Linked DNA regions of Pelodiscus sinensis. The protein of the gene in region 1 binds, or shares a complex with, the protein of each later gene. Links are inferred from orthologs where the notes say so. Each region holds a gene or a part of one and is shown in the gene's direction. Other genes may lie near its edges. The genes, in order: FNIP1, LAMTOR4, LAMTOR1 and LAMTOR2.

What was found.
Region 2: FNIP1 (region 1) and LAMTOR4 share a complex: the UniProt entries of both Homo sapiens proteins name them as parts of the lysosomal folliculin complex. The link is inferred for Pelodiscus sinensis from reciprocal best matches to the Homo sapiens genes FNIP1 and LAMTOR4.
Region 3: FNIP1 (region 1) and LAMTOR1 share a complex: the UniProt entries of both Homo sapiens proteins name them as parts of the lysosomal folliculin complex. The link is inferred for Pelodiscus sinensis from reciprocal best matches to the Homo sapiens genes FNIP1 and LAMTOR1.
Region 4: FNIP1 (region 1) and LAMTOR2 share a complex: the UniProt entries of both Homo sapiens proteins name them as parts of the lysosomal folliculin complex. The link is inferred for Pelodiscus sinensis from reciprocal best matches to the Homo sapiens genes FNIP1 and LAMTOR2.

Annotation. Positions count from the first base shown.
Region 1 is NC_134727.1:26,104,947-26,112,316, forward strand, and holds the start of FNIP1 (folliculin-interacting protein 1), read left to right. Parts: upstream 1-4,357; 5' UTR 4,358-4,379; coding exon 4,380-4,609; intron 4,610-7,370. UniProt on the Homo sapiens protein: Binding partner of the GTPase-activating protein FLCN: involved in the cellular response to amino acid availability by regulating the non-canonical mTORC1 signaling cascade controlling the MiT/TFE factors TFEB and TFE3.
Region 2 is NC_134734.1:7,555,318-7,561,911, reverse strand, and holds LAMTOR4 (ragulator complex protein LAMTOR4), read left to right. Parts: upstream 1-3,993; 5' UTR 3,994-4,121; coding exon 4,122-4,124; intron 4,125-4,840; coding exon 4,841-4,921; intron 4,922-5,096; coding exon 5,097-5,214; intron 5,215-5,813; coding exon 5,814-5,911; 3' UTR 5,912-6,094; downstream 6,095-6,594. UniProt on the Homo sapiens protein: As part of the Ragulator complex it is involved in amino acid sensing and activation of mTORC1, a signaling complex promoting cell growth in response to growth factors, energy levels, and amino acids.
Region 3 is NC_134711.1:325,258,542-325,265,692, forward strand, and holds the start of LAMTOR1 (ragulator complex protein LAMTOR1), read left to right. Parts: upstream 1-4,142; 5' UTR 4,143-4,306; coding exon 4,307-4,348; intron 4,349-7,151. UniProt on the Homo sapiens protein: Key component of the Ragulator complex, a multiprotein complex involved in amino acid sensing and activation of mTORC1, a signaling complex promoting cell growth in response to growth factors, energy levels, and amino acids.
Region 4 is NC_134734.1:16,810,740-16,818,083, reverse strand, and holds the start of LAMTOR2 (ragulator complex protein LAMTOR2), read left to right. Parts: upstream 1-4,331; 5' UTR 4,332-4,423; coding exon 4,424-4,491; intron 4,492-5,848; coding exon 5,849-6,011; intron 6,012-7,139; coding exon 7,140-7,229; intron 7,230-7,344. UniProt on the Homo sapiens protein: As part of the Ragulator complex it is involved in amino acid sensing and activation of mTORC1, a signaling complex promoting cell growth in response to growth factors, energy levels, and amino acids.

The DNA of each region.
Region 1 (7,370 bases):
TTGTGGGGAAAGAAATAACTCTACTAGCAAAAGCTCTCTGTTCTGTCGATTTTTCTTGTGCAAAAGCGTGCTTGAGGTGGTTTTTGTGCAAAAACCTTATAGTGTAGACACAGCCTAAGTATTTTATATAGTATAAGAAGTTACCATTTTATCTCCTCTTAAGCTCCAGGAAGAAAATTCTATATTGAAACTACAACAGCAACCACTCCTAGTCTGTTTTTTATACCAGTTAGGCATTTCCCATGTTTTGAGTCCGGACTAAAAAAACAAAACAAAAAAACTGGAAGTGGAAAATGGCTCTTTAGTATTAGTGGGGAAAGGTTACAGGTCACAGTCAGTTGCTTGTATAATACTTTAGGGCCTAATTGTGCAGGCAGCTCTCATAGGAGCAGTCCTTGTTTGCTGAAGTCGAGGGGACTTCCCCAGGAGAAATTTAGGCCAAAATATCTCTTTGAAGGATTGTAACTGTAATTTCAGATGAATCACAGCCTATGTAAGAACTACCCTGGAATTATTTATATTATATATTTCAGTGATTAAAATAGATACATATTTGGTAGAGATTTGACTTAATTAGATATTAAGTCTTTTTGCAAATTGTATTTAAAAAGTGTAAAAGTAAATTACAGTTGGGTGCTTTTGATTTCAAGTGTTTCCAGCTTAAGGGGAAAACTACTTAATGCCGCCTGTATATTTTTGTGTGTGTATAATAGAATTGTGTACTCTTTGTGATTCCCTGATGCACGCAGTGTGTAAAAACCCAAGTCTAGTCAGAGGTCCTCTTCCTGTACACAAACTAGCAACAAGGAAGTTTCTCTCATTGCTTTCCACTACAGTTACCTTAATAGGTTATAAAAGTGCATAGTGAAAGGTAACTTCCTGTCACAATAATCTACTATATAGTTGAGAGACTTTGTCTGCTCACGAACTCATACTCATAGACTTTAAGGTCAGAAGGGACCATTATGATCATCTAGTCTGACCCCCTGCACAGTGCAGGCCACAGAATCTCGCCCACCCCTCTTAGAATAATCCTCTCACCTATGTCTCAGATATTGAAGCCTTCAAATACTTTGAAGGCCCCAACATGCAGAGAGTCCTTCAGCTGTGATCTGTGCCCAATGCTACAGAGGAAGGCGAAAAACCTCCAGGGCCTCTGCCAATCTACCCTGGAGGAAAATTCCTTCCTGACCCCAAATATGGCGATCGGCTAAACCCTGAGCATGTGGGCAAGACTCACCAGCCAGACACCCAGAAAGTTCCCTATAGCAACTCCTATCATCCCTCCATTGACCTATTTCCAACTGATAATGAATGGTCAATTAGTTACCACGATCATGTTATTTCATCCAACCATCCCCTTTATCTTAGAATCATAGAACTGGAAGAGACCTCAGAAGGTCGTCAAGTCCAGCCCCCCGCTCTAGGCAGGACCAATTCCATCTAAATCAACCCGGCCAGGGCTTTGTAAAGCCGAGACTTAAACACCTCTAGGGATGGAGACTCCACTACTTCCCTAGGTAACCCATTCCAATGCTTCACTACCCTCCTAGTAAAAATAGTTTTTCCTAATATCCAATCTGGACCTCTCCCACCACAACTTGAGACCATTGCTCCTTGTTCTGCCATCTGTCACTACTGAGAACAGCCTCTCTCCATCCTCTTTGGAACCTCCCTTCAGGAAGTTGAAGGCTGCTATCAAGTCCCCGCTCACTCTTCGCTTCTGCAGACTAAACAGACCCAAGTCCCTCAGCCTCTCCTTGTAGGTCATATGCTCCAGACCCCTAATCATTTTGGTTGCCCTCCGCTGGACCCTCTCCAATGCTTCCGCATCCTTTTTGTAGTGGGGGGCCCAACTCCTAAACAGTAAAATCAAGGACCACCAAATTCGCTATACAGCATCCTCTGATCATAACTTAAAGCAAGGTTAGGGTTTGGTTGTGCAGAAAAATAGGATGTGACTAGAATAGGATTGCTTCTCAGAAAACCATACAGAAAGGAGATAGGTGAAGGGACTAAATGAGGGCACCCCCCAATCTGGAACTGTCCCAGTCCTGAGCCTCCCATCCACCAGACACTTTAATGAGGGCAAGATGGCTGAAGCTCTCCCTTCCCAGATTTGTACAGGACATTGCTGGCTGTTCCCCTTCATCAGGGAGCAAGGGGACTGTGCACAGTTTTCTGCCCCTTACTCTGGCTGGGGAGCGCAGAGGGCAGATGAGCTGTGCACTTTGCTCTCCCTCCCTGACAGGAATAGGAAGGAGAAGAGCAAGAAGCCCTGATATGAATCTTGGAGGGAGGTGTCCCTGTGTCCCCTACTCATTCCCTTGTCCTGAGATCCTGCACTCCCTCTGCCTTGAGCCCCTCCTTAAAGACCCAAGCAATGCCAGGTAAATGTGCTAGTAATATTTTAAAAACTCATTCTGAGAGCTACTAAAGGAAATTACTTAGATTATTGAGAGTGTGTTTATCTGAATTAATCTGACAGCATGCAGTTTTACTTCACTCCATTTAGATAAACGGAAACTCATTAACCTTCATTAGTTAGCTTTTAGTTAACTTTGTACAAATGCAGAACTAGAAAACAATGCTAAAATGTGTGCATTGTAGGCACTGATGAGGAATCCTAAACTCCAAGCCAAAATTGTCCTTTAAATACATTATTTAAAGGTGCTTTCCCAAAGTATTTAATAGTTTGTGCAGAAACTTTTGGCTCCCTCTGATTCTTGTAAAACCCAATTTTAGGCTAAAGAGGGATACTTGCTTAAACTGTAATTTGTTTTCCTGCTTGTAGTAATGTTATAACTGTGTGGGTCCCAAAATATTAGAGGGGAGATGAATGAAAATCTTTTACTGGACTATTTTTTGTTGTTGGTGGTGAAAGAGAAAACAGAAGTTGGTCCAATAAAAGTTACTACCTCATCCAGCTTGTCTGTTTTCTTCCTGGTTCATTATTTTGTTGTTACCACTTTAAAGCTAGTTTGTAACATTTGGTTTGTTTATAATGTGAAGCTTCCTCTTCATGCAAATCTTCACCTTCCTTCTCTGGGTATTGTATAGTCTGAACCGCCCACGTGAGTCACTTTTGCTTTCATTCAGATACTGCACTGTGGCACAGTCTCTTAAATCTGTAACTGGCAACTCTTTATGAAGGAAAGAAAGTAAAAAGCTGGATCAGTGGGGGGGAGCCTCCTATTTTTTATACCAGAGTCTTCAATTCCCATTGTCTATATATACACACACACACACACATATTTTGGATTCAGCACCTAAATTCTGCTAAATCTGGCCAGTCTCTGGCTCTAACCACTCTAATTCTGCCATATGAAGAGAGAACAGCTGAATGCTCTTCTTACACCAAAAAACACCTGATCCCTAATGCAGCAGGATCCAGCAATGCTGGAAATAGGTCAATTTGGCACCTGGATTCTGCCAGGGTCTAGCTCTCCACAGATTCCACTGCCTAAACAGAAATCCTCTTTTGCCACTCTCGTTGCACCTGAGAACTCAGGAATTGTCCCATCAAAATAGAGAACAAGTGGCACTTCTAGCACTCGAGGAAGAAATTCTGGCCTCTAGTAAATCCTGGTAGAAGAAAGCTGTAAAGACTCACCTGCATCCCACTACATTTAGCTATTTGTGACTTCGGCCCCTCCTCCCCAGTTTTACCAATTAATGCAGTACCGTCAGATACAGTTTCTACCAGAATAATCCAGACCATACTGGAAAATGGAAATGTTTCCTAAGATGCCGAAACAATTTCTGAGTTACCAGATCAGACACTAGATCCCAGTTTTTTGCCTCCTTGCTGAGCTGGGGCCCATGAGGTTCGACTGTTGCATCTGGAGTCTATTCTCTATTTAGGCAGAGACTGTTTCCCCCCGAGGAGCAAAAATTCAGATCCGTCCGGCCGCCTGTACCCTGTCCTAGCGGTTTAAACCATTTGCTCTGAGGTGCACCGGGCCCTATGGGGGCTTTGCTGAGAGAGGGAGGTCTCTGCACACTCGTTCTGTATTTTTGTGGGCGGATCAGGGGAATCCTAGTTGGATCAAACAGGAGCTACGTGCAGGAGCAAGGCTGTTGCAATGGGATCCTGGCAGCCCCGGCGTTAGATTCGGTATCCTAGGAGAGCTTCGATTTGTTCTCCATTTAACAGTGGAATGGGAGGGGGTTGCTGCTGCGGCCAAAAAATAGCTGGATCTGTCCAGTTTTCCCCCGGCCCCACCAAAACCTAGCGGGCCTGCTTGAGCAGAAAAGCCCCCCACGTGGTGCTGGGGCCTCAGCCACTCAGCGGTGCACGGCCCCGGAGAAACCCCTCCCGGGCCCGCCTCCCTGCGATCCTCCTCTTCTGGCAGCTCCAAGTGACTAATTTTTGTCATATGACTGTGACACCAAATGGAGTCGGGTTCGCGGAACTAGCTGCCTGCCGGAGGAGTTCGCTGCTCCAGCCCCAGCGCCTCCGCTGGGTGCAGCGGGGAGAGAAGGAGGCTGGGGGGCAGCGGGGAGCAGCGCGCCCCAAAATGCCACCCACCTTGTTCCAGAAGCTCTTCAACAAGAAGCCCGGGCTGAGTTCTCCTGCCAGGGACTCCAGGGAGGAGTGTGTCTTCAGGTAACGCGGGGGGAGCCCTGGGCAGCCCTTCCCTCTCTCTCGCCCGTGCTCACAAACTTGGACCAGTTCGTTACTTTCTAGCCTGTTTGCCTGATGCAAACTACTCCTCGCCCCTGCTATGGAAGAGGCCAGAGAAGAGAGGATCGGGGGGGGGGGGTGATTTTGCGCTCTGTCTGGAGGGCTCTGGTGTGCAGGATTGGATACACTGACTGAGCTGGCCCCCTGCAATCCTCCCCTCCCCCGTTTGACACACACATTTGGTGTGTTGCCTCCTTTCCCTTCTTCCCAGCCCCTTTCCCGGGAGAGCCCTGGGAGTGGAGAGGCTTCTTGGCCTGGGTTCCTCCCGCTACACAAGAAGCTGGACGGAAATCCCTGATGCGCTTTTTGCAATGCACTGGGACGCATGCAACATTGTTTCTCCCGAGTGTTTCCTAAAGGTGCCCTCCGTCTATTCTCCTCCAACGCAACCCCTTGGGGATCCCGGCCCCCCGAGCCCTTCGCTCTGCAACAAGTCTTATTTTCATTGCCGTCCTTCTTTGTAAAAAAGTTGCAAAGCAGAAGTAGCCTCTTAGCGCTTCCCAAGATGGGTTGCTTCCTCTGATTAGGTTGTGACTCTTCCTTTTGGCGTGGGTTGGGATTTCTCGCTTCCCTTTCCCCGTCCTCCAATTCCTTTGTTAACTTTATTTTATTTTATTTTATTGCCTTTGATGTTTTGACGCACTTTTGAGGCTGCAGATTTAACAAGCCCCCTAAAAAAGACGCCATTCTTTTGACTTTCTTGAAGTGGCGAGGTGGTTGCTATCTGGAAAGAGCCACCTTAATAAATACTAAGAGGGAAGAGCAAATATGAAATGCAGGCTGCCAACAGAAGTGTAAGGTTACTCTTAAAATCTGTCATGATCTAACCACAACAAAACTGAATCCACTAAGCTTCCAAACACAAGACTGCAAGAAAAATGCTTGCACCCTCCTTACAAATGCTTCGCCACCTTTATCTCTTAACATTAAACGTTTCAATTTAAGCTGATTGTATGTGTAATTCCCTGTATTTCTAAAATGCTAACAGAATATGGTTTTTTGTTGTCTGGAGAAAGCAGATCCCTAGAGATCCAGGGACACCTGTGTGGTATAAGGACTTGAATTTGCAGTTTTTTATGAGGACTCCAGTGTAAAGTTAAAAATCAGGACCAGAACTACACTTTTGGCAGTTTGTCCCTATTGTAACTTATCAAAATTCTAAAAATAAGATTAAAGGTTGATCTAGCCAAAGGTATTTTAGGGTCTATAAAATAACAGTAGTAATGGATAGACAGAGCAATAACCATCTAGTAGATTTGTGTAGAAAAATCTGGTCTAGTTGCAAACTATTAATTTAAACCACTATCATGACTTTGTAACTGACATGTAAATAACACTTTGCATTTGTTGGTGTGAATTGCGGGGTGTGAATATTTACATTTTAAATTGACTGCTTGGAACAGCTCTCCATTTAATATTTTAAATATCTTTGTAAGTTACATTACACAATGTGATGGGTAACATGTAGACCTGAGGGCTGCCCTCTGGATCTGTACTGGATTACAGTACCATCTTTCTGTAGTTCCTGAGACCCAGTCACTGCAAACATCGGGGATGGTAAATACTAAACATACCCATTTATTCTCTCAAGAAAACCATTTTCACAGCATACTGATTGATCTTCCATGTTTTTATGAAATAACCTAGAATCCAGTGCCATAAATGTTGGAATACACCTGTAGCAAAATTGGTTTATAGCTTCCCAAACACCTCCATTTCATTTTCCAGCTGAGTAATTTATTTTATTTTACTGACATACTGGGTGGGCCAAAATTTCTTCTTTAACAGAGAGAGAGAGAGAGAGCCAATTATATTTTACCTGATTTTTATGCTGTCCAGACACTTCTTAATGATAAACTTCTACTGAGGATTTAGTGTACAACTCAACAGCTGTGTTCCATACACTAGGGATATTTAGGATTGTGTGTTGTAAGGAAGAAAATATTACTATATCATCTTCTGAGGTCTTCCTCCTCCCCTTTCTTTAATACAGAACACTGTGTGCCAGGACAGGATGCATATATTTAAAATTACCTCCCTGCTAGTACATTTAAGATATTTTTATATGATGAATCTGTTAGTGGACATATTCAGATTAAGTTTTATAATTTCAATATAAATGTAAATGGGGAAACATACTATGAAATGTTAATAAAAAGTGTCTTTCTAACGTTCTGTTACTATTATATTTTGCTAAACTGAATTTTCCAGTGTTAAAATTCTGAAAAATTGGTCTTTGTTAAGCGCTGTGCTAAAAATCAATGAAAAGCATAATAGTTATATTCTTATAAAAGAAAGTGAAAGTACATCCAATCCTTGGATAATGCACAGGATTCCTTTAAAGCTATAAGGTTATGAAACAGGTATTTTACTTTAAGATCTTGCCTGAATTCCAAATATTGTATGAAAGTAGAATCAGACTCATACTTCATGAAAAAGAATACAATTTCGCATATGATCTGGATAGCCCACTAGTTGCTGGTGAGCACTTAAATCTCCAGTGCATCCTCAAAATATTTGTTGTGTCTTGGTGAGAAGTTCAGATGGGGGCCGAGGATGGTCATGTGGTTAAAATACTAGCTTCTCTTTATAAGACCTAAATATTATTTTGTCACAGGCTTCCTTTATGCAAGTTGCATAATTTCTCTCTGCCTTAGTTTCTCTATCTATAAAATGGAGATAA
Region 2 (6,594 bases), on another chromosome or scaffold:
GGAGGACAGGGAGGTTAATAAAGGCTTATCAGCCAGTGGGCAAGTGATGTCTTCCCTGTGCACACCCCCCTTCCCAAATCTGCTGCTCTGGCAGCACCAAGGAAGCACTGACTGCTGGGGCAATGGGCAGGGATGCTATTTCAGATTTGGAGGGGGGGAGACCTGTGCACAGCATGATGGGGGTGGTGGAAAGAGTGAGTGCATGAGGGGTGGACTGAGGACATAGGCTTCAGCCGTTACTGAACATGCTGGCTGTGTCTAGACTGCATCCCTTTTCTATAAAAGGGATGCAAATTAGACATATCGCAATTGCAAATGAAGCAGGGATTTAAATCTCCCCCGCTTCATTAGCATAAAAATGGCTGTCACTTTTTTCCGGCTTGTAGCTTTGCCGGAAAAGAGCGCCAGTCTAGACGCGGATCTTTCGGAAAATAAAGCCTTTTCCGAAAGATCCGCGTCTAGACTGGCACTCTTTTCCGGCAAAGTTCCGAGCCGGAAAAAAGCGGCAGCCATTTTTATGCTAATGAAGCAGGGGAGATTTAAATCCCCGCTTCATTTGCAATCGCGATATGTCTAATTTGCATTCCCTTTATGGAAAAGGGATGCAGTCTAGACACAGCTGCTGAATACAAGCCAAGCACCAAATGTGGGAGGGAACCCCATTTGGCCTCCCCCACGTACACGTCTCTATCCACGGGCTACTAAGGCACTGGAAAACTCTACTTTTTTTTTGGCAGACAATTTAGCAGGAGCACTGTATCTAATTCCTATCTAACAGAAAGAAAAATAAATATTAGACCCACTCAGTTCTAATACTAGCACATTCTGACATCTTGTGGCAAGTCATGTAAGGGACACTGGTTAGCATTATAATTTTAATGTACGTTCTTATTTTGTTACTGATTCTGTGGAGAGACAGACACGGTCAGGACTCCAGGGATCTGTCTCAGCTCAGGAAGGGGAGTGGGGTCTAGGGAGTTAGAGCAAGGGGGAGATATGTAGAGCTGAAATATATAAGAACATCAGCATGGCCACACTGAGTCAAACCAATAGTCCTTCTAGCCCCCTGTCTTGTCTTCCAACAGTGGTCAGGCCAGGTGCTTCAGAAAGCGTGAACAGAAGAGGCAATCCTCAAATGATCCGCTGTGCCTCCTTTGTTTGTTTGAAATCTGCTGCCTATAAATTTAGTTGGTCAGCCTCTTGTGTTATGTTAGTGAAGGAATGAATATTATTTCCTGAGTCTATTTTTCCATACCACTCATGATTTTCTAGATCTCTAACATATTCCCCCCATCCTTCAGTCATTTCTTTTTCAAGCAGAAAATTCCCAGTCTTGTTAATCTCTGCTCATACAGAAGCTGTTCCTTACCCCTAATCATTTCTGTTTCCTTTCTATACCTTTTCCAAATCCCATTGGGTTTTTTTTACCAGATCTGCATACAGTATTTAAGATGTGGGCATACCATGACTTTACATAGAGGCGATCTGGTATTTTGTCTTATCTACTCCAGTGTTTCTCAGCCTTTTTTAATAAAGTACCACCCAGTACTTAAAGTTTTCAGACACACGGGGCCAGACGGAGGCATGGGTGAGCACAGCAGCTGCCCAGGGCACCAACCAACGAGGGGCGCCTGATGGCAGCTGTAAGGGGCGCGCGGCTCCTGCAGCGCTGGCCCGCCCGCATCCCCACGGTGCCGGTCAGCAGCGCCCATCCCCCGATGGCTGCAGGGCCCTGCATGGCCCGGCGCGCGCGCCAGCAGCACTAACCAAGCCAGGCTGGGCAGCACATGCACCGAGCGCCCTGGGCTGCGTGCCAGCAGCCGGGGCCAGCGTGCGCATATGCCGTGCGCCCCGGGGGGGGGGAGGGCGGGCATGTGCTCCACGGGCAGGCCCGCGCATGCGCCTTGTGCTTGGGGGCGGCACCGCGCGCCCGGGCCCCGGGCACCAAAAGGCCTCAGTCCGGCCCTGCAGACACACACAAAAATGTTCTATCATTGCAACACATTTGTTTAAACAACTTAATCGTAGCTGGGCAAGCGATGAAATTTTTGGATGTAAAAAGTACAAAAATAATAAAGCACTGTAAAACAAAACAAAAATTCAGTTTTCTCCAAATATTAGTTGTCTTGATGTACCCCCATCCTTCCCCAGACTTCTCTCACGTACCCCTAAGGGTATTTAATTAATTAATTAATTAATTAATTAATTTAAATATTTTAATCCCACCTTTCTATTTAAAATATTCAGTACTCGTACCACTGGTTGAGAAACACTGATCTATTCCTTTCCTAATGATTCCCAGTATTCTGCTAGCTTTTTAGTTTTTCGACTGCCAGTGTACACTGAGCAGATGTTTTCAAGGAACTGTCCACAAGAATTCCAAGATCTATTTCTTGAGTGGTAACAGCTATTTTAGACGCCATCATTTTTGTGCATATAGTTAGGATTATATTGTCCCATGGGCATTGCTTTGCACTTATCAACAGTGAATTCTATCTGACTACGTGCTACCCAATCACCCAGTTTTGTGAGATCCCTTTGTAACTCTTTGCAGTCAGCTTTGGATTAGTCCCTGTTCACCCCTTTTTCAAGAACATTTATGAGAAGTTTAACAGCAGTGATCCAAATGCAGATCCTAGCAGCACAACACTCATTCCTACTCCCCAACTCAGCTCCCTGCCCATCTTTTAAGTGAAAACCCAGCAATGTTTTCATGGTGATCTAACAATCCTTCAGTTACTGGACTGCCCAGGCCTTTGTTACTCTTAATCACCTGCCTCTGTTTATAACAAACTCCCTGCCCCAAAGGCAAAGCTGCAAGCAGCTCAAACTGTTTAAGGGCTGCCTCTGGAGTCAGGGCTTGGGCTTTAAGCAGACGTAGGGTTACCAGGTAGACCCCTCCCAAAATACTTTGATTGTGGGTGGGGGGGAGGGACTGGCTGGGAGGGGAGCAGTGCTGGCTGGGAGGAAGAGGAGCGAGAGGCAGGGCTAGGGGGGGGCACATTGAGGGCTGCGAAGCTGGCCAGGAGGAAGGGGGGAAGAATAAGGGATCTTTCAGAAAAGGCTTTATTTTCCGAAAGAACCACGTCTAGACTGGCGCTTTTTTCCGGTAATGCTCTGAGCTGGAAAAAAGCGGTAGCCATGTTTCTGCAAAATGAAGCCGGGGGGGGGGGGGGATTTAAATCCCCGCTTCATTTGCAATTGCAATGTGTCTAATTTGCATCCCTTTTATGGAAAAGGGATGCAGTCTAGACACAGCCTGATTGTATGGAGAAGCTGGGCAGGGGGGAGTGGCTGGGAGTCCCAGCTCCTGCCCCCAGCCCCACCCCCACCCAGCTTTTGCATGTGACCACGGGGCTCCCAGTGCCAATCGCGGCCCCGCCTCCCAGTTGCTCCTCTGCCTCCGCCAGGCTTCTGTCCTGTGCCCAGCTGGAAATTCAGAAAATATGGGACATTGCACCCGTCTGGTATTTTCTGAATTTTTCTACCGGCGAGAGGGCGCAAATACCGGACTGCGGGTGGAAAACCAGCCACCTGGCAACCCCAAGCAGACCTCAAGTATGAAATCCAGGGGCTGGGGGCGCTACTGCCCCTTGCTCCCCATAAATGGCGCCCTGGGGAGCCCATAAAAGCCTGATACCCAGCAAGAGAGCGAAGTCCTCCGGGTGCCCTGCACTGCGGGTGCTAGGAGGGCCACGGGGTTGACTAAGGCCTGACAGGCAGAAGCAGCCTCCGGGAGGCCCCCCACGCACGGGAGCACCAACCTGCCCGCCGCGCCCCTCCGGCTGCTGGGGAGGGCGGGCCCGGGGGGGGGGGGGGTTAATACGGGCCTGGGCCGGCGGGCAGCACCTGTCTTGAGCTTTAGGGTTCCACCTCATGAATATTCATGTACTCATGGAATATGCAGCAGCGGGGTCTAGGCCATAGCCCGGAACTCAGAGGCTGGCGGGCCAATGGCAGTGCTAACTGGTGGGGACGGGGCGTCGCCTCTGCGCCAATGGCAGCGCGGGACGGCAGCTGACTGGCAGCGCTTTCAGCCAATGCGGTGGAAGGAAGGGGATAACAGGGGGCGGGGCTGATGATCAACTGATTGTAACGCTTGCGGCAGCGCCTAACTCGAGATGGTGAGTGGGGGATTCCCGCCGCGCCGCGCGTTCCCCGGGGGCCGGACACCCCCCCCCCCCCGCTGTGGCACTGACCGGGGGGGAGGATTCCCCGGGGGCTGGACACCCCCCCCCCGCGCTGTGGCACTGACCGGGGGGGGGGAGGATTCCCCGGGGGCTGGACACCCCCCCCCGCTGTGGCACTGACGGGGGGGGGGGGAGAGGATTCCCCGGGGGCTGGACACCCCCCCCCCCCCGCTGTGGCACTGACGGGGGGGGAGGATTCCCCGGGGGCTGGACACCCCCCCCCGCTGTGGCACTGACCGGGGGGGGGGAGGATTCCCCGGGGGCTGGACACCCCCCCCCCGCTGTGGCACTGACCGGGGGAGGATTCCCCGGGGGCCTGACACCCCCCCCCCCCGCTGTGGCACTGACCGGGGGGGAGGATTCCCCGGGGGCCGGACACCCCCCCCCCCGCTGTGGCACTGACCGGGGGGGGGGAGGATTCCCCGGGGGCCGGACACCCCCCCCCCCCCCGCTGTGGCACTGAGCGGGCCGGACACCTCACCCCATGCACACGGACTGGCACTGAGCGGGGGGTGGTATCTGCTCCATCACCTCCGGGTTGGCCCCTACGGGAAGGATTGACTGGTCCTGTGGTCACCCACAGCCCCTCAGTGCCCAGGGGAGCTACACCCCCCCCCCCCTGTGCTTCTGACCCTGACCTCTTCCCCTAGACGACGGCGCTGACCCAGGGGCTGGAGCGGATCCCTGACCAGCTGGGCTACCTGGTGATCTGCGATGGTGCCGTGCTAGCGGTGAGATGGGGACCCGGAAGCCTGGGAGGGGGATGGGCTAGGTGAGTTAGGGCTGCGGAGCCAGGACTCCTGGGTTCTCACCTGGCTCTGAGAGGGGAGTGGGGGTTGGTGGGCCAGAGCAAGGGAGTTTAGGGGGGCACGCCCCTAACCCTTGTTCCCTTTCCTGGCCCTGCAGTCAGCTGGTGAGCTAGAGAACGCTGAGCACATGGCGGGAGCGATCTCGGAGCTGGTGGGCACAGCCTGCGGGTTCCGGCTACAGCGCAGCCCTGACCCCCCCTTTAAACGCCTCTCTGGTGAGTGTGGGAAGGGAGTGTAAGGGAATGTGACTGACCTTGAGTGGGGACAGAGCTGCTGGGGAGCAAGGGGGCTTGGCGGTTGTTGGGGCCTATCCCCCTCGAGATGGTATGCAGCTCACACCCTCAGTGCCCACATCATGGAGCACCAGGGAAGGACTCTACTCCATGCCCTTGTAATGCCTTTTCCCTCCCTAAGTTGCTGTCACTGCCACCCCCTCCTTGAGCCCCCAAGGGGTGTTCCTCCTTTGGGGGGGCAGCATGGCATCCACTGGCCTTCAGCCTGCTTCTATGACCCACTGCATTTGGCTCCACCCAGCCTGGGGTTTGCACCTAGGCCCTGGGTGCCCAAGTCTTGGGACCTGGGCTCAGTAGGTGACACCATGCCCCAGGGGTCTGAGCCTGCTGTGCAAACCATCTCATTGTGTATCTCTTCTCTTCTCCCCCCCCCCCCCCCATTCTCCCAGCAGCCAGACTTGTGCAGGGGGAAAACTGGGGCATACACTGGGTTTGTAACCCCCCTCACCAGGGTACTCTAGCCCTATCCTTCCCCCTTGGGGGGTGGTGGTCTTATACTGTCTTCCCCTCTCTCCCCACAGTGGTGTTTGGGGAACACTCCTTCCTGGTGACTGTCTCTGGCCAGAAGATCTTTGTGGTGAAGCGGCAGAACCATGGACGGGAGCCGGTTGCTGTCTGAATCAGTGGGAGGGAGGGGGAGCAGGGAATACAGTGAAGTGCAGCTGGGACATATGGAAGGGGAGTCCCACTTCAGAGCCTGACCTGTAAGGGTGTGGCAAGGGGGAGCCTTTCCCCCTGAAGGAGGAGGGAGGGCAGGCACATGCCATGCTGTAACTGTGGGGGAATAAAGTGTCTTTCCTAACTGTTGGGGGGGGGTTTGCTTCCGGGGGGGGGGGGTTGTACCCCTTCATGATTCCCCATGGGCCTCAGCTCTCTCCTCTTCTCCCCTGCCCCTCCCCCCCCTCCCTCCTGGGCAACTCCTGGGGGTGATGCTCAGTGAGCAGCTCTGGCAGCACCACTCTACACAACCTCTTAGGAAGGGCTGGGGTGGGGAGCTGCAACAGTGAGCACTCTTCCTGCTCCAACACTGGCCCTGGCTGGGGGAGGGTGACTGCCAGTCTCACAGAGGGTCTCTACCCATCATGCCCCCCACCCCCAGTGCACACACAGAGCAAGGCTGGTTCCATCTCATGTAATTTATTCAGACCCAAATTGCAGCTGCTTTAGAGAAAAATAAATAACAAAAACATGTAACTAAAGTGCACAGGAGGCCTGGATCCAATGAGTCCCCACAGCAGGGGGGGGCACAGCCAGGACCTACCCTTCCTTCCCATGGTCAGGAGTGGAGTTGGCAATGCTTTC
Region 3 (7,151 bases), on another chromosome or scaffold:
TTGCTATTACTCTGGGCCACCCCCAAAGAGTGGGGCCCGGGGCCGTTGCTCCGGACGGCTCTGAGTTACTGCAGAGAATTCTTTCGCAGGGTGTTGGCTGGTGGGTCTTGCCCACATGCTCAGGCATGGGTGGCGGGTATAACAGGCACAGGAAGGTTAAGCGTTCCCTGCTGCCAACCTGCCCCTGATGCCTGGGCCACGTGGCCCTGCCATGTCCCTCTCCCCACCCCTCACTGTGTTCCTCCTCTTCTTGGGAGGGGGGTGAGGAGGAAGGTGGCAAGCCAGTGGGCAGCCAACCAGGGCTTCTGGCAGGGGAGTGAGGCAGCTTGGCCAGGCTCTGCCTGGTGCTGAGAAAGGGAAGTGGTTGGGGGAGGGCCCAGTGCCTTGTCCTGGCGCTTGTGGGGAGCAGCAGATTGGGCCAGCCTGGTGCGTGGGGGGCTGGTGCCTCAGAACCGGAGCTGGGACTGGACTGGCTTGGTGGGGGGTGGGGTGGGAGGTTCAGGCTGGGCAGGGAGCTAGGGCCAGAACTGGGGCAGATGGGCTGGGCCTCGTTCAGTCATGGCGGGGAGGGCGCACAGGAGCGGCAGGTATAATAGGCGGAGTAAGGCATCGTCTTCCCAAACGGCCACCGGGCCCCACCCATAACGACAACTGTAGCGCACCCGCCCTCTCCATGCTCCAGAGCCGGGGAGGCTTGGGCCATGTGCCACCCCACCTCCCTGTGGTTATCCGGGAAGGGGAGGGGATTGGCTCCCATGGGGGAGAGGCCTGAGCAGAAAGCGCGAGGCTGGGGGCTTGCCTTCCCCAGCTCGACTTTCACCCGCCGCCCATGGGACCATCGGGGTGCCTCCTGTTAAGGAGGGGGAGTTTTCACAATTCAGGTGTTTGTGTGGGGGGTGGGGGCAAAGACTGCATGCCTCACTCTGGCTGGGGAATGCAAGGGAAAGAGGAACCTGGACCTTCCCCAGCTGGGGCAGATGCACTGCTCCCCCAGGGGTGTCCATTCCAGCTGCAGTGGCCATGGAGAGGCACTTCTCATCTGGCCCCAGCTGCTCCAGTGAGAGAAGGCTGGGGTAGTCCTCTCTCCCCAGGGCAGCCTGCACACTGAACCCCTCGTCCCCAGCCCCACCCCAGAGCAATGACTCAAATGCAGCCTGGACATTTTCATGTTATTTTCCAAAAAAACCAAAAATTGTCTTAAGAACCAGAGCAACTCCGGGTAAACCTTCTAGTACTTAATAAAACCACTTTTATTATCAAGCTCGGTGTAAAGAAGTGTTACCGTGGGAAAGGGTGCATATTTCTCTTTCATTGATAAAAAGAGCGAATCTTACAGGGTGTGTCTAGACTGGTAAGATTTTGTGCAAAAACTTGCCAGCTGTCTACACTGGCCACTTGAATTTGCGCAAGAGCACTGATGATCTCATGTAAGAATTCAGTGCTTCTTGTGGAAATACTTTGATGTTCACGCTCGGGGATAAGCCCTCTTGCACAAGAATACTTTTCCGTTAAAAGTATTTCTGCAAAATCATGCCAGTCTAGTCGCAGCCCCTGACTTTCTCTGGATAAAGCTTTTACACAGAATACAATGGATTTATTTGGCATTTTGGCCCCTTTTGGCTGGGAGAAATCAGAGTTCCTGGCCCAGGAGAACAGAGTGGTGGGGCATCCCAGGCGGCAGGTAGGCAGGCTCAGAGGCATGATCAGCACACTAGGTGATAGCTCCAAGGGGAGCTTGTGATCCAACCCGTCACAGGAGCTTTTCCAGCAAAAACACCAGCCTGGTGCAATAACTTAAGTCTCTGAACTGGAGACTCATAGAATCCTAGGGCTGAAATAAATGTCAGGAAGTTGAGTCCAACTCACTGCTAAAAGCAGGACCAATCCCAAATAGATCATTCCAGCCAGGGCTTTGTCAAGCTGGGACTTCAAACCGCTAGGGATGGAGATTCCAGCACTTCCCCAGCTAACCCATCCCAGTGTTTCACCACCCATCCAGGGAAATAGTTTTTCCTAATATCCAACCTAGACCTCCCCACTGCACCTTGAGACCATTGCTCCTTGTTCTGTCATCTGCCACCACTGAGAACAGACCCTCTCCATCCTCTTTGGAACCCCCCTTCAGGTAGTTAAAGGCTACTATCAAATCTCCCCTGTTCTTCTGCAGACTAAATAAGGCCAAATCCCTCAGCCTCTCCTTGTAAGTCATGTGCTCCAACCCCCTAATCATTTTATTGTCCTCTGCTGGACTTTCTCCAATGTCCATCCTTTCTGTAATTGGAGGCCCAGAACTGGATGGAATACTGTAGATGAGGCCTCACCAGTGCTGAATAAAGGGGAATAATCACTTCTCTAGATCTGCTGGCAATGCTCTTACTAATGCAGCCCAATATGCTGTTAGTGTTCTTGGCTCCAAGGGCACACTGTTAGCTCATGTCCAGCTTCTTGGCCACGGTAATCCCCAGATCCTCTTCTGCTAAACTGCCGGTTTTCATCTGAAGAAGTGGGTTGTACCCACAAAAGCTCATGATACCATCTACATGTTTTGATAGTCTTTAAGGTGCTGCTAGACTGTTTGTTGTTTTTTTAAGTTTTTCCAGTTACAGACTAATTCGACTAACCCTCTGATGCTGGTTAACCAGTCGGTCCCCAGCCTGTAGCAGTGCTCGGGCTTCTTCTGTCCCAAGTGCACTTGACCTTGATGAATCCTCATCAGATTTCTCTTGGCCCAATCCTCCAACTTGTCTAGGTCACTCTGTCCCTGTCCGCTCCAGCATTTCAAATGCTACTTCATCACCAGGTGATTGAAATGGCCCTTACAAAAGTGCTGGGATCAGTTATTGGCTGGGAAACTCGAGCTAGGAGCGTGCTCCCCCCCCCCCCGTTGTAGGTGCAACCCACGGAGTAGGGATTAATGTAGTAGTCTCTGTTTTAAGCACAAGATCACTTTTTGAATGTAAATGCAATCCAAGATCTACCTCAAACCCAAACACCCTTGCCCCGCCTCTTTCCTGCTCCTTCTCTGAGGCCCTGCCCCTGCTCACTTGTCCTCCCTCCCACCCCTATTCTCCCTCCCTTTCACCAGGCAGGGGAAGAGGGTTGGGGTGCAGGCTCTGGTCTTGGACTAAGCGATTTGGAGTGTGAGAGGGGCTCTGAGCTGATTCTGGGGCAGGGGTTTAGGGTGCAGGAGGGAGTTCATGACTGGGGCAGGGGATCAGAGTTGGCTCCAGCTGAGCACTGCCTACCACAGGTGGCTCCTGGGTGGTGGTGGTGGTGCAGTGGGGCCTGCACCACTCTCAAAAGCAGCCAGCAAAATCCCTCCACCCCAAGCCCTATTGTGCCCCCGCTCTGCTCTGTGGAGACAGAATACAGGAGGAGAAGGGGCACCCTGATATCAGCACCCCTCCTCTCCCTTCCCTGCTCTGTACAGCAAGCAGGAGGTTCCCAGGGAGGGGGCAGCTCCAAGGCAAAGGGCAGGAGATAGGCAGCCGTGGGGGGAGGGGCAGCTGAAGTGCAGCTCTTGGCAGCCTCTTGACCAAACCCGTCAAAGGCTCCAAGATCGAGCGGTCGGTCCCGATCGACCGGGTGGTGACCCCTGGATTAATGCGTTTATTGGAGTAAACGTGCAGCTGCCCCCCCCCCCGTTGCTGTCTCTGCTGTCTCCATAGGGGCGGGGGGGGGGGGGAGGATTGTATGTTGGGGGGAGCCCGGTCACTGCGCTGGCTGCAGCCTCACAGCCCCCCCCCCCACTTTCTGCCTGTGCTGGGAGGGGCCAGACCCCGCCCCTGCATCCTGGGGGGGCAGGCCCCGTGCCGAGGTGGACATGGGGGGGGGGGGTTTCCTGGCCCCGCCCCCGGAGCAGCGGGGAAGCGGGGAGGTTCATGCACCCCCAGCCCGTGACAGCATTCCTCTGTCACGCGCCACCCTCTTCTCTGAGCGCTGATTGGCGCGCCGCCCTCACGTGGCGGGAGGCCCCTCTCTGTCTCTCTTCCGTCCCCCGCCACTTCCTTTCCTGGAAGGCGTCCCGATCACGTGACCTGCCACGCCTCGCTCGATTGGCTCGCCCTCCTCACGTGCCGTGAGGGCCCCCGCGTTCCGCGCTCGGCATTGGCGCTCCGGCTCACGTGTCCGGAAGCGGCGAACGGGAAGGGCGAATGAGCTCCCCCTCCTCCCCTCCCAGGCTTGTTTGTTGGCTGGAGGGGCGGGCGCCGCTGCTCATGTGACCGCGGCGGCAGGGCCCCAGCCGGACACCGTACCGCGTCCCTCCCCTCCCCCTCCCGGGAGACCGGCCCCGCCGCGCCCGGCCATGGGGTGCTGCTACAGCAGCGAGAACGAGGCCGCTGACCAGGTGCGGCCCGGGGCCCCCGCGGGGGGCGGAGCGGGCGGGGGGCGGGTCTGCAGGCGCCTCGGGCTCCCTGGAGACTGGTCCCGGGGGCGGGGAGACGGGAACCCGGGGGGGCACATGCGGGGAGGGGGGCTAGGCTGGGGTCGCTAGGTGGGGGAGTTGGGGGGGGGTCCCTGGGAGGGAGGGGGGCTAGGCTGGAGTCGCTAGGTGGGGGAGTTGGGGGGGGTCCCTGGGAGGGAGGGGGGCTAGGCTGGGGTCGCTAGGTGGGGGAGTTAGGTGGCCTAGGAGGGTTTATCTCGTTCTTGGGCCTTTTTCCAAACCATAATTGACAAAATACAAAGATTAAGTCCTCTTGGGCTCCTGTAGCTTCAATGCAGCTGTGTACCACAGTGTCCCTTGGGAGTTTCTGTGTTGCTGAAACCTACATCCGTGCCTTTTAGTATTGGGCTGTGGCTAGAAAGACGTCAGTAAAAAAATCTCAGAAAATGCTGGAGTGTCTCTTGCCAGAAAGATACAGGTGGCATCTGGCAGGTTGGGTGAGGGGTAGAAAAGATTCCCCCAACCCAGCAGGGACTGGGTTGATTTTGTTGCCTGTAAAGCCAAGGACCTCCAGGGTATCCTTAGGAAATGGGCCCAGCTGATTTTCAGTGAGCTCCCCACTAAGGGATGTTTGGAGGGAGAATTTGGGCAGGGATGACGGCAAATCCTTGCTATCCAACTGGGCCTCCTCACCATGCCCTTCACATTTTGGCAGGGTTATTACAATGTAGGATTTAATGGTGTGGGGTGAGAATCAATGTTCCCTCTTCAGTTTTTCCACCCACAAACGGAATAAATTTTATATGCACTGAGGCGCGTGCGGGTGTGCACTGCCAATGGAAACACGTGCTGGTGGCTGTGGGCGCTCTGCTAATCAGCCGGGCAGCATTTGAATCTCTCCTGGGTGGCTGCCCAAGTGCTCGGCTTATGAGGAACAGGGGTCAGAATGTGACACTGATTGCATGGAAACTTAGGCACTACTGTCGGCTTCAACTCAAGCAGTTCAACACATGCTAAGCTCAGCTTGTCTTGCCTACTCTGAAGTTATTGAGCATGCTCACTAAGACTTTCCATCAACAGCCCTTCTAAACCTTAGTCTAGCCACACTGCTAATGTTGGGCAAAGAGAATTAGGCCTTGTCTCCACTCAGGTTGTTAGTAAGAAGGGATCTGCGTAAAAGCCCTGCTGTGGGGGAGGAGTTGCACTATGGCAGCAAGTGGGTGAAGCCTCCCGCTGGTGTGGATACAGGGAGGTCAGGAGAACCCATCATTCTGCTTTTTGAAGCGTTCAAAACATCAGGCAGGCAGGAGTGACAGCAGTCATTTCTGAATCCCACCCTCCTGCCTCGTAGCTGTCTAGCTCTGTGCCATCCCAAATTGCCGTTCCTCTGTTCTCGGCCCAGGCTACACTATAGGCAGCTCTCCAGTGAAAGCCAAGAGGGCCTGGAGCTGCCGGCAGGAGTTCTATTAATAGCTGAACTTTTATTAAAGAGTCTTGTCCTTGGCCACAAAGTGAGCAGCTGCTCCTCAGGCTTTGTGTACTTACCCAGCTGATGCTCCCCGCTCCTGGGGCTTAAAGGGAATCTTTTGTCTTCAAGTGTTTGTTGAAACTGCTTACTTTTGGGAGGGTGCAGCAGGGTCACCATTCAGCCACATACAATTGTGGGGTTTTTCCCCAGTAGATGGCAAACCAGATCTAAAAGCAGGGACAGAAGCTTAGAAATGAGAGGAGGCTTGGCAGGTGCTTCCCATCCCACCTGCTTTGGTCCCTGCAGTGTAGTTGCTACCATCTTGGCCAGTCTAGTCTTGAAGGCTTATTTTAGGCAGGACGTGGCTAGCATGAGTTGGCCAAAAGTGACTTTTTTCCCGTAGCCAGATGTAACTAACCCGAGTTGTCTCAAGCCATGGCGTTGTCGCTTCTTCCCCTAGGACTCTAGTGTCCAGCTGACCAGATCTTGTCCTTAGGAAGTCTAAATCATCTTTCTCCATAAGCCTTACAGAAAGGGATCAGGACAGGCACTCACCCTTGGCATGATAAAAAGCCAAGGCAGCTTCATTGATTGGCTGAGCAGACGTGCCAGACAAATGAATGAGTGTTACTTCCCCTGGCAGCTTTAGTCTGGGGTTGTAACCCCAAGTCCCTTTGCGTTCCTGTCCCTCCTGGGGGTTTGCACCAGCCAAATCATTGTTTTGTGTGTATCATGTGGCACCACTGCCAACATACTCCCGGTGCTAAATTCCCGCTACGCTGCACGGCTGCCTAATAAGCCCCGGGCAGGCACTCACCAAGCTGCCGCAGGCTGGGGAGAGCCCCCCTTTCCTTGGTCCCAGCAGGGAGCTGCCACGGCCAGGAAGAGGCACCTTCTCAAAATTCTCCCCCCTGCTGTCCCCGGCAGCATGAATCTGTTATCACTGGGAGAGAGGTGCCCCTCTTCCAGCCAACCCAGCCTCACCAGAGACTCCATGGCTAGCAGAGAGGTGCCTCTTACCTGCTCCGGAGCTGCTGTGGTGGGAGAAGACTGGGGGGAGCCCTTTCTCCCCAAAGCAGCCTATACTGCAAACCCTTCCTTCCCATCCCAGATTCTGTACCCCTTGTTATCCCAACCGTCTGCCTCAGCCTTGAGCCCCCTCCTGCACCCCAAACCCCTCATCTCCAGCCCCATCCCAGAGCCCTCATCCCCCCCAACCCTGAGCCCTTTCCCACATTCTGAATCCCTTGGCCTTGCTCCCCCCCACAGATGGTTCATGTGCCGAATGAATTTTATATG
Region 4 (7,344 bases), on another chromosome or scaffold:
CTAGCCATAGGCAATTAGTTATATTGGCCCATTGTGCCTGTGCTCCACCAATACTCAGGAACATGGGCCCAACTCCAGCAACATTTGGGCTGATATTTTGAGAGCCATCCTGTCCATAGGACAGACTGGGACAACTGCCCTCTGCTCTGGAGGGCCCTGTGCTTCTGGGGGATGCACAGACCAGGGCTGCCTGGTGGGCTTATCAGGGGGGCCTGGTACTAGCAGCATTTCCACCCCACCATGCCCCCACTCCACCTTTTCATTCAACCCCCACCCCACTCCTCTTTCCAGCTTCTGTCTCTCCCCTGAGCAATGCCAGGAGCCAGCAAAGTGGGCCAGAGCAGGGAGAGGTCACTTGTTGTTGCCAGTGCCAGGCCCCCCACTAATCCTTCAGGCCACCCTGGACCCCCAAAGCACAGGGCCTGGGATAGTTGCCTCTGGTCCTGATCTTGGGCCCATTCTGAGCACCACTGAAAATTACATCTAGCCCAGTATCCTGTCTTCTGAAAAGGGTTAATGCCAGGTGCCCCAGAGGGAATGAACAGAACAGGGAATCATTAAGTGATCCAGCCCATGTCACTCATTCCCAGCCTCTGATAAACAAAATCCCTGCCTATCCTGGCTAATAGCCAATGATGGACCTACCCTCCATTAATTTATCTAGCTCTTTTTTAAACCCTGTTATAGTCATGGCCTTCACAACATCCTCTAATGAGGAGTTCCACAGGTTGACTGTGCATTTTGTGAAGAAATACTTCCTGTTTGTTTTAAACCTGCTGTCTGTTAATTTCATTTGGTGACCTCTAGTTATTTTGTTATGGGAATGAGTAAACAGCACTTCCTTATTTACTTTCCCCTCAACAGTCATGATTTTATAGACCTCTATCATATTCCCCCTTAGATGTCTCTTTCACAAGCTGAAAAGTCCCACTTTTATTAACCTCTCCTCATTTGGAAGCCATTCCATATCACCAATTCATAGGATACTAGAACTGGAAGAGACCTCAGAAGGTCATCAAGTCCTACACACATGGCTGGACCAAGTATCATCTCATCCCAGATAGATGTTTGTGTTATCTGCTCTTAAAAATCTCTAATGATGGAGATTCCACAACCCCCCTCGGCAATTTATTCCAGTGTTTAACCACCTTGACAGTTAGGAATTTCTTCCTAATGTCCAACCTGAACCTTCTATGCCATTGCTTCTTGTCCTATCATCAAAGGTTAAGGAGAATAATTTTTCTCCTTTCCCTTCTAACAACCCTTTAGGCACTTGAAAGCTGTTATGTTCCCTCTCAGTCTTCTCTTTTCCTGAATAAACAAACCCAGTTCTTTCAGTCTTCCCTCATGGATCATGTTTTTTAGGTATTTAATCATTTTTGTTGTCATATCCACAACATGGAACAAGGTTCTATGACAGCTGAGGATGGAGTGTCAGGATCAAAGGGTTTCATGGGGATAGAATGTGGAGTCAGAGTGTTCTGTAGTAGCTGGTGTTGGAATATTAGGATCAAAAGATTCCGTGGCAATTAGGCTGGGACAGATTGGAAGGGACAGTTCTGAGTGATAGTTGGGAATGGGCATCTGGAGTGAGAAAGAAAGATAGGAATGAAGTGTGGGGAAAACCCTGTCTACACTGAATACAACATCCGTATTCAGAGCTGTGCTAGTAGTTAATTATGGCCAGGGCTCAACAAATAATACAATCTACTTGCCCTTGGTGAGTAGATTGCAACCCGGAAGAGCCAGGTTCGGGTGATCTGCACATGCGCAGATTTCCGGACAGCACGGCTGGCGAGTGGGACTCGCCGTGGTTCGGTGAGCCCTGATTATGGCTATCCAGTCTGTTGTGGATAATGCCTGGGGATATCAGCAGCTGATATAATGTTAGGTTTCAGAGTCATGTTAGTCTGTTTTAGCAAAAACAAAGAGTCCAGTGGCACTTTAAAAACTAACAGATTTATTAGTGTATTAGATTGTATGCTTTCCTGAGTTACAATTCACTTCCTCAGATTCTGAAGAAAGAAAGAAAGAAAAAAAGAAAGAAGCATAAGGAAGATTTATTATTAATTATGTATAATAATAATATTCAAGATCCACCCTGTATGTTTTCTGAGATAGCAACAAAAAGACACCAGAAAAATACACCACTACCTATTAGGCACTGTCTACCACAGCAAAATTAGTGCTCATATTTCAATAACTACAACAAGGGGGCAGTTGGTGCGTGGCTGGTAAAGACAAGGCCTAGTCAGTTCTTCTAATGTGTGTATCAATCTAAGGTCTTTATATGGCCCATTGGCCACCATTATTTTAGTATCTGAGTCCCCTCCAACCTATAGAATATTATCCTGAAAGTAACCCCATGTGAGGCAGTGCTGTGCAGATGCCCCCAGTTTTTACATACAGGGATTGGAGGCATAGGCAGATTAAATGATTTACCCAAGGTCACACAGGAAATCTATGGCAGAGCAGGGAATCCTCAAGTCCCAGTCTAATTAGTGATAAAGTCTGTTGGAAGGAGGGTTCGAAGGCTCCTCCCACACTCCCCCAGGAATGAGCTGTTGCAAAAGAACTATAAAAAGCACTGGAGAGTGCTTGCTAATCTCTGATAGGCAACTAGTCTCTTAATGTAAGTAGCTGTGTGTGAAAGTAACTTAGTTATTTGATTCTTGACCTTTTTTAGGGGTTATCTGTGCTACAAATGTAATTATTGTGGGGCTACAATGTTGTTAAAGCAGCACTTGGGTGAGGGTAATTCTTCTCCCCCAATATTCTTCAACCCCCCTTCTCCGCCAATATTCTTCAGCACTGTCAGTTGGGGGCAGACTTTGGCAAAATGGCTTGGTTTTGCTGGGATACTTAGCTAAACTTAATTAAGTTTAAAATTCTTTGGAGGGGGGACTACAGAGTCTATCTTGCTTCACAATTAGGCCTTTGATGTGTTACTGTAATATGTGTATACCTGGGTCCAGCCCAATGGAGCCTTTTTTTTTTTTTTTTTTTTTTTTTAAACAAATCAGGAGTCCCTATTTGGGGATGAAATGGGATGTATGCTCCTAGAACTCTGAAGGAGGACAACTGCATTTTCATTGTCCTCCTGAACAATGTTCCTTCTCTCTTCCATCCATGTGTGTAGCTTTTTTGTTTTAAGGACAGTGGACAGTCATACATGCCTCAGTGCACATTAAAAAAATTGCTATCTGTGAGTGCTCTGCTAATCAGCTGAGTGATGTTTGAATCTCCCCTGAGTGGCTGTGCAAGTGCCCAGCTTTCAGGGAACACCTGTGGTCATGGTGGTGGAGTGCAAGAAATGTGGCCTTCAGTAACATACTGCATTAGCTTTGCTTCCTAGACTGATAGCTGTCCCTGCATAGATACAGAATTCTCTGTCCTTAAAAGGTACACAGGGCTAAGAAGAAAAAAGTTTCCCAGTTCACTCACGCACCTGCCTATGCTTTTCTTCTACTGCCCCCACAGGGATTGGGGGTACCTGGGGTAGTAGAGAATTTTATAAACAGATGGGACCAGCAATAGGGAAAATGACACTGATAGGGCTGCAGTGTCATCCCTGCCCAAATTATCAAACTCCTGGGTCAGGTCTGCCAGAAGCCATGAGATTGGCTTAAAAATGACAAGATCTTCCAAAAATAACATGTATTTGCTTTTTTTTCCTGAGTCTTTAGATGTCATGCTTATCAGTTTTTCCTCTACAACTGCAATGTCCCCAGACAGTAGGTTGGTGGTTTTGTTTTGAATCACCAGCCTCCTCATATTTGGTGTCTGATTTCCAGCATGAACACCTGAAGTCCTATAGAAGTCAGATAGATATGGAGCTGATGGGTTTTTTGCGGGGGAAAAAAATCTTGTAAATGTGACCTACATATTCCTAAAGGCTCGAAATCCAGCAAGCAAATAAAAAGAACACAAAATTGTTCTAGGGGGCTGACCCGTGGGTCTCTTTCTATCTCTTCCCTTTCTACATGCTTGGCATTTGCAACATGGCAATCGTGAAGTTTAGAAACTTTGTTTTCATGAAAGCTGAGGTTCAACTGACTCCAGCAGCTGGGGATGTTAAAAAGACCCAAAATGTGTGAGTTGTCTGTAGCTTGTATGAAGGTAAATGGTATGTTTCCTGTGGTGTGATTACAGGAGATCACAGTAGTTGTGTGAACTGCTAAGGACTGGGGTCGTTTGGTGTGTAGCACCAGCGGTATGCTAGTCACCCACAAAGAGAAATTGCCCTGCAATCTGTGTGCATGAAATGCCCTGTCTATGCAACAGAACTGGAAAAGAACTACAACTCCCAGCCTGCTGTGGGCTGAAGTCGCCCTGCACGGGTTGATCAGCTGATGGGGAAGCAGGCTCTCTGAGCTGTGTGTGTTTCCACCACTGCAGGGAGGAAAAAGGATCTGTTGCTACCATGCTGCGCCCGAAGGCCCTAACCCAGGTCTTGAGCCAAGCCAACACTGGAGGGGTCCAGAGCACCCTGTGAGTATAAAGGGAGTGGTGGGGGAGAGGAGTGGGCATGGCTGGGTATGGATCAGGGAACCCTGTCCCTGAAGTATTGTGACCAGATCAGTGGTCCCATTAAGGATTAGTGCCCCCTCCTCCAAAGGGTCTTCCCCTCTCCCTACATCTCCCACTTCATGCCCCGGTAGGAACAGAGACATCTTGGTGGCCCCCCACCCAGCTTCAGTTGTGTTGTACAATTCCTTTTCTGAAAAGTGGGGAGGAAGAAGCAGCCCAGTGCACCCTAATAAGGAGTAGTCCCTCCTCAGAGGCATTAGATGTGGATGGGGGGGGGGGGGGGTCAGCATTCCCTGTAAGCTGAGTGCTTGCCTTGGACAGTCACCTAGGAGAGATTCAAATGCTGCCCAGCTGATTAGCAGAACACTTGCAGTGCCCACAGCCAGTAACCTATTTCTGCTGGTGGTGCACATTTGCACATAAATTTTATTTTCCATATGGGTGGAAAAAATTAGAGGGCACATTGATAGGGGTAAAAGGGTCTGGCCAGGACTTCCTCCAGAAGGCATTGTGGGGGACAGGGGATGGGAACTTGGAGAGCAGATTACTAATATTTTCCCTGCTGAAGCCCTGGGGAGAGGTATGTCAGTGAAGTACACTTTGGTGTTGTTGCATGCAGGTAGTCTGTTTTTCTTGCGTAGATCTTCTCTGTGCTGGGTCTGCATGTGGGTAGCCACATGAAGGCAAAGAAATGGGGGCGGGGAACAGTTGCATCTGTATCGCCTGCAAATCCACAGATCACTCTTACAAATGCAGATGTGGATACAAACGTTGAGGCTGTGCCAGGAGTTGTGCTCCCAGCACTGTAGTCTGGTTCACACTGGCACTGTGCTGTAACTTACTGCGCTCAGGGGTTGCGGGGGGGCACCCCTGAGCCAAAAAGTAAAGTGCCAGTGTAGACTTAGCCCGTGCGCACTCTCAGGCTGAGGCTGTATCCAGAGCAGTATCCACAAGACAGTAAAATAAAAAATTTGGGAGGTCCATTCCCCCACAGCCCTCTCTTCCTAGGAGCTGCTGCACCCATGGAAAAAGAGCACCCCTGCTAGAGAGGAAGGATGGTTTGGGGTGTGTAAAGTAAAGCTCTGCCACTGCCTTATCTGCCCTTGGTCTTATCACTTCGCCTTGGATACCCTCTCTAAAATGAGGGTGAGACATGCCTCAGAGGGGATGTCACGAGATTCCGTGTGTGTTCTGTCTGATCAGATACTAAGGTGATGAGCACCATAGAAACCCCTATGAGTGAAGTCCGTGCCTAAGCAGAAGTGGCACAAAACCCTGTGGGCTCTTGGCTCAAATTCTCCCCCTCTGTCCTTTGTAGACTTCTGAACAATGAGGGATCTCTACTTGCGTATTCTGGTTATGGAGACACAGATGCCAGGGTCACGGCGGCCATCGCCAGTAACATTTGGGTGGCCTATGACAAGAACGGTCACCAGGCTTTCAATGAGGACAACCTGAAATTCATCCTTATGGACTGCATGGTACGTTGTGAGGTGCAGGGATGGGGCAGGGATTCATTCCTACAGGAAAGGCTCAGTTTTTCAGCAGTAGAATGCTGCTACATGTCTCCGCTCTTATCAGTTTAACCCATAGATCCCTGAAACAGATGTGGAATTGGATCACAGGACTCCAGATGCCTGTTCTCCGCTCTTCCATGGACTGATATAGGTTAACTGCCTCTTTTCTGCCTCAGTTTCCCCATGTATAAAACGAGGATAATAGCTGCACCGTGGGGTAAGGCTGAAGTTCAGATTAAGTACTTAGATGCCATAGCAACACAAGTTATCCAAAGCCAAAACTTGAAGCAGGTTGCCATTCTTCCTTCTCCCTCGCACACATGCGGCTGAAAGATCTTATTTCAGAGCAAATGCCTTGCTCTTTAAGAATGACCTAGGCTTTCAAGTGTGATGGGACAATCTGATGGGATAATGTTGGTCAATTTGTTTGATCACCTTGTGCAGGGCAGTAAGAACATAATACCTTGCTCTGAAGCAGCATTCTATCATCAAGTCTCAGGGGTAGTTGTGTTAGTGTGTATCCACAAAAACAACAAAGAATCCATTGACACCTTAAAGACAGATTTATTTGGGCATAAGTTTTTGTGGGCAAAAACCTGCTTCGTCAGGTGCATGGAGTGGAAGTTACAGAGGCAAGCATTAACATACTGTACAATTTCCATTCCATGCACCTGACGAAGCAGGTTTTTGCCCACAAAAACTTATTCCCTTATAAATCAGTCTTAAGGTGTCACAGGAATCTATCATCAGTAGGTTTCTAAGCAATTCACAAAGGAGGGTCGTCTCCAGTCTTACAAATGGGAAAGAAATGAGGTGACTTTCCAAGGTTAGCCAGTGCCAAAACTGGAAAGAGAATCCAGGTCTCTTGAATTCCCAGCAGACTGCACCACAGTGCCTTCCCAGTGGAGATTTGGATCCCCAGTGTCTGACTGTAAGAGCAGAAGGTTAAAATGTCCGGGACATGGGGGTTCTAGAGTGGAAACCTATCCTTCAAATCCTCTTTTTTTTTTTTTTTTTTTTTCTTCTTCCCTTCTGCCGGCCTCCCCTTCTCTCCCTCTTCCACCCCTCCCCCCCCCCCCCCGCCAACTGCAGGAGGGTCGTGTTGCTATCACTCGGGTGGCGAATCTCTTGCTGTGCATGTATGCAAAAGAGACCGTTGGATTTGGGATGCTGAAAGCCAAGGTGATGCGGAGCTGCCGGATTGCATTTGGGGCGGGGGGCAGCTGTGTAGCTGCAGTTTGAAAAGTAGATTGGTGAACTCTGCATAATATGAGTGGCTCTCTAACTGATGTGGGGG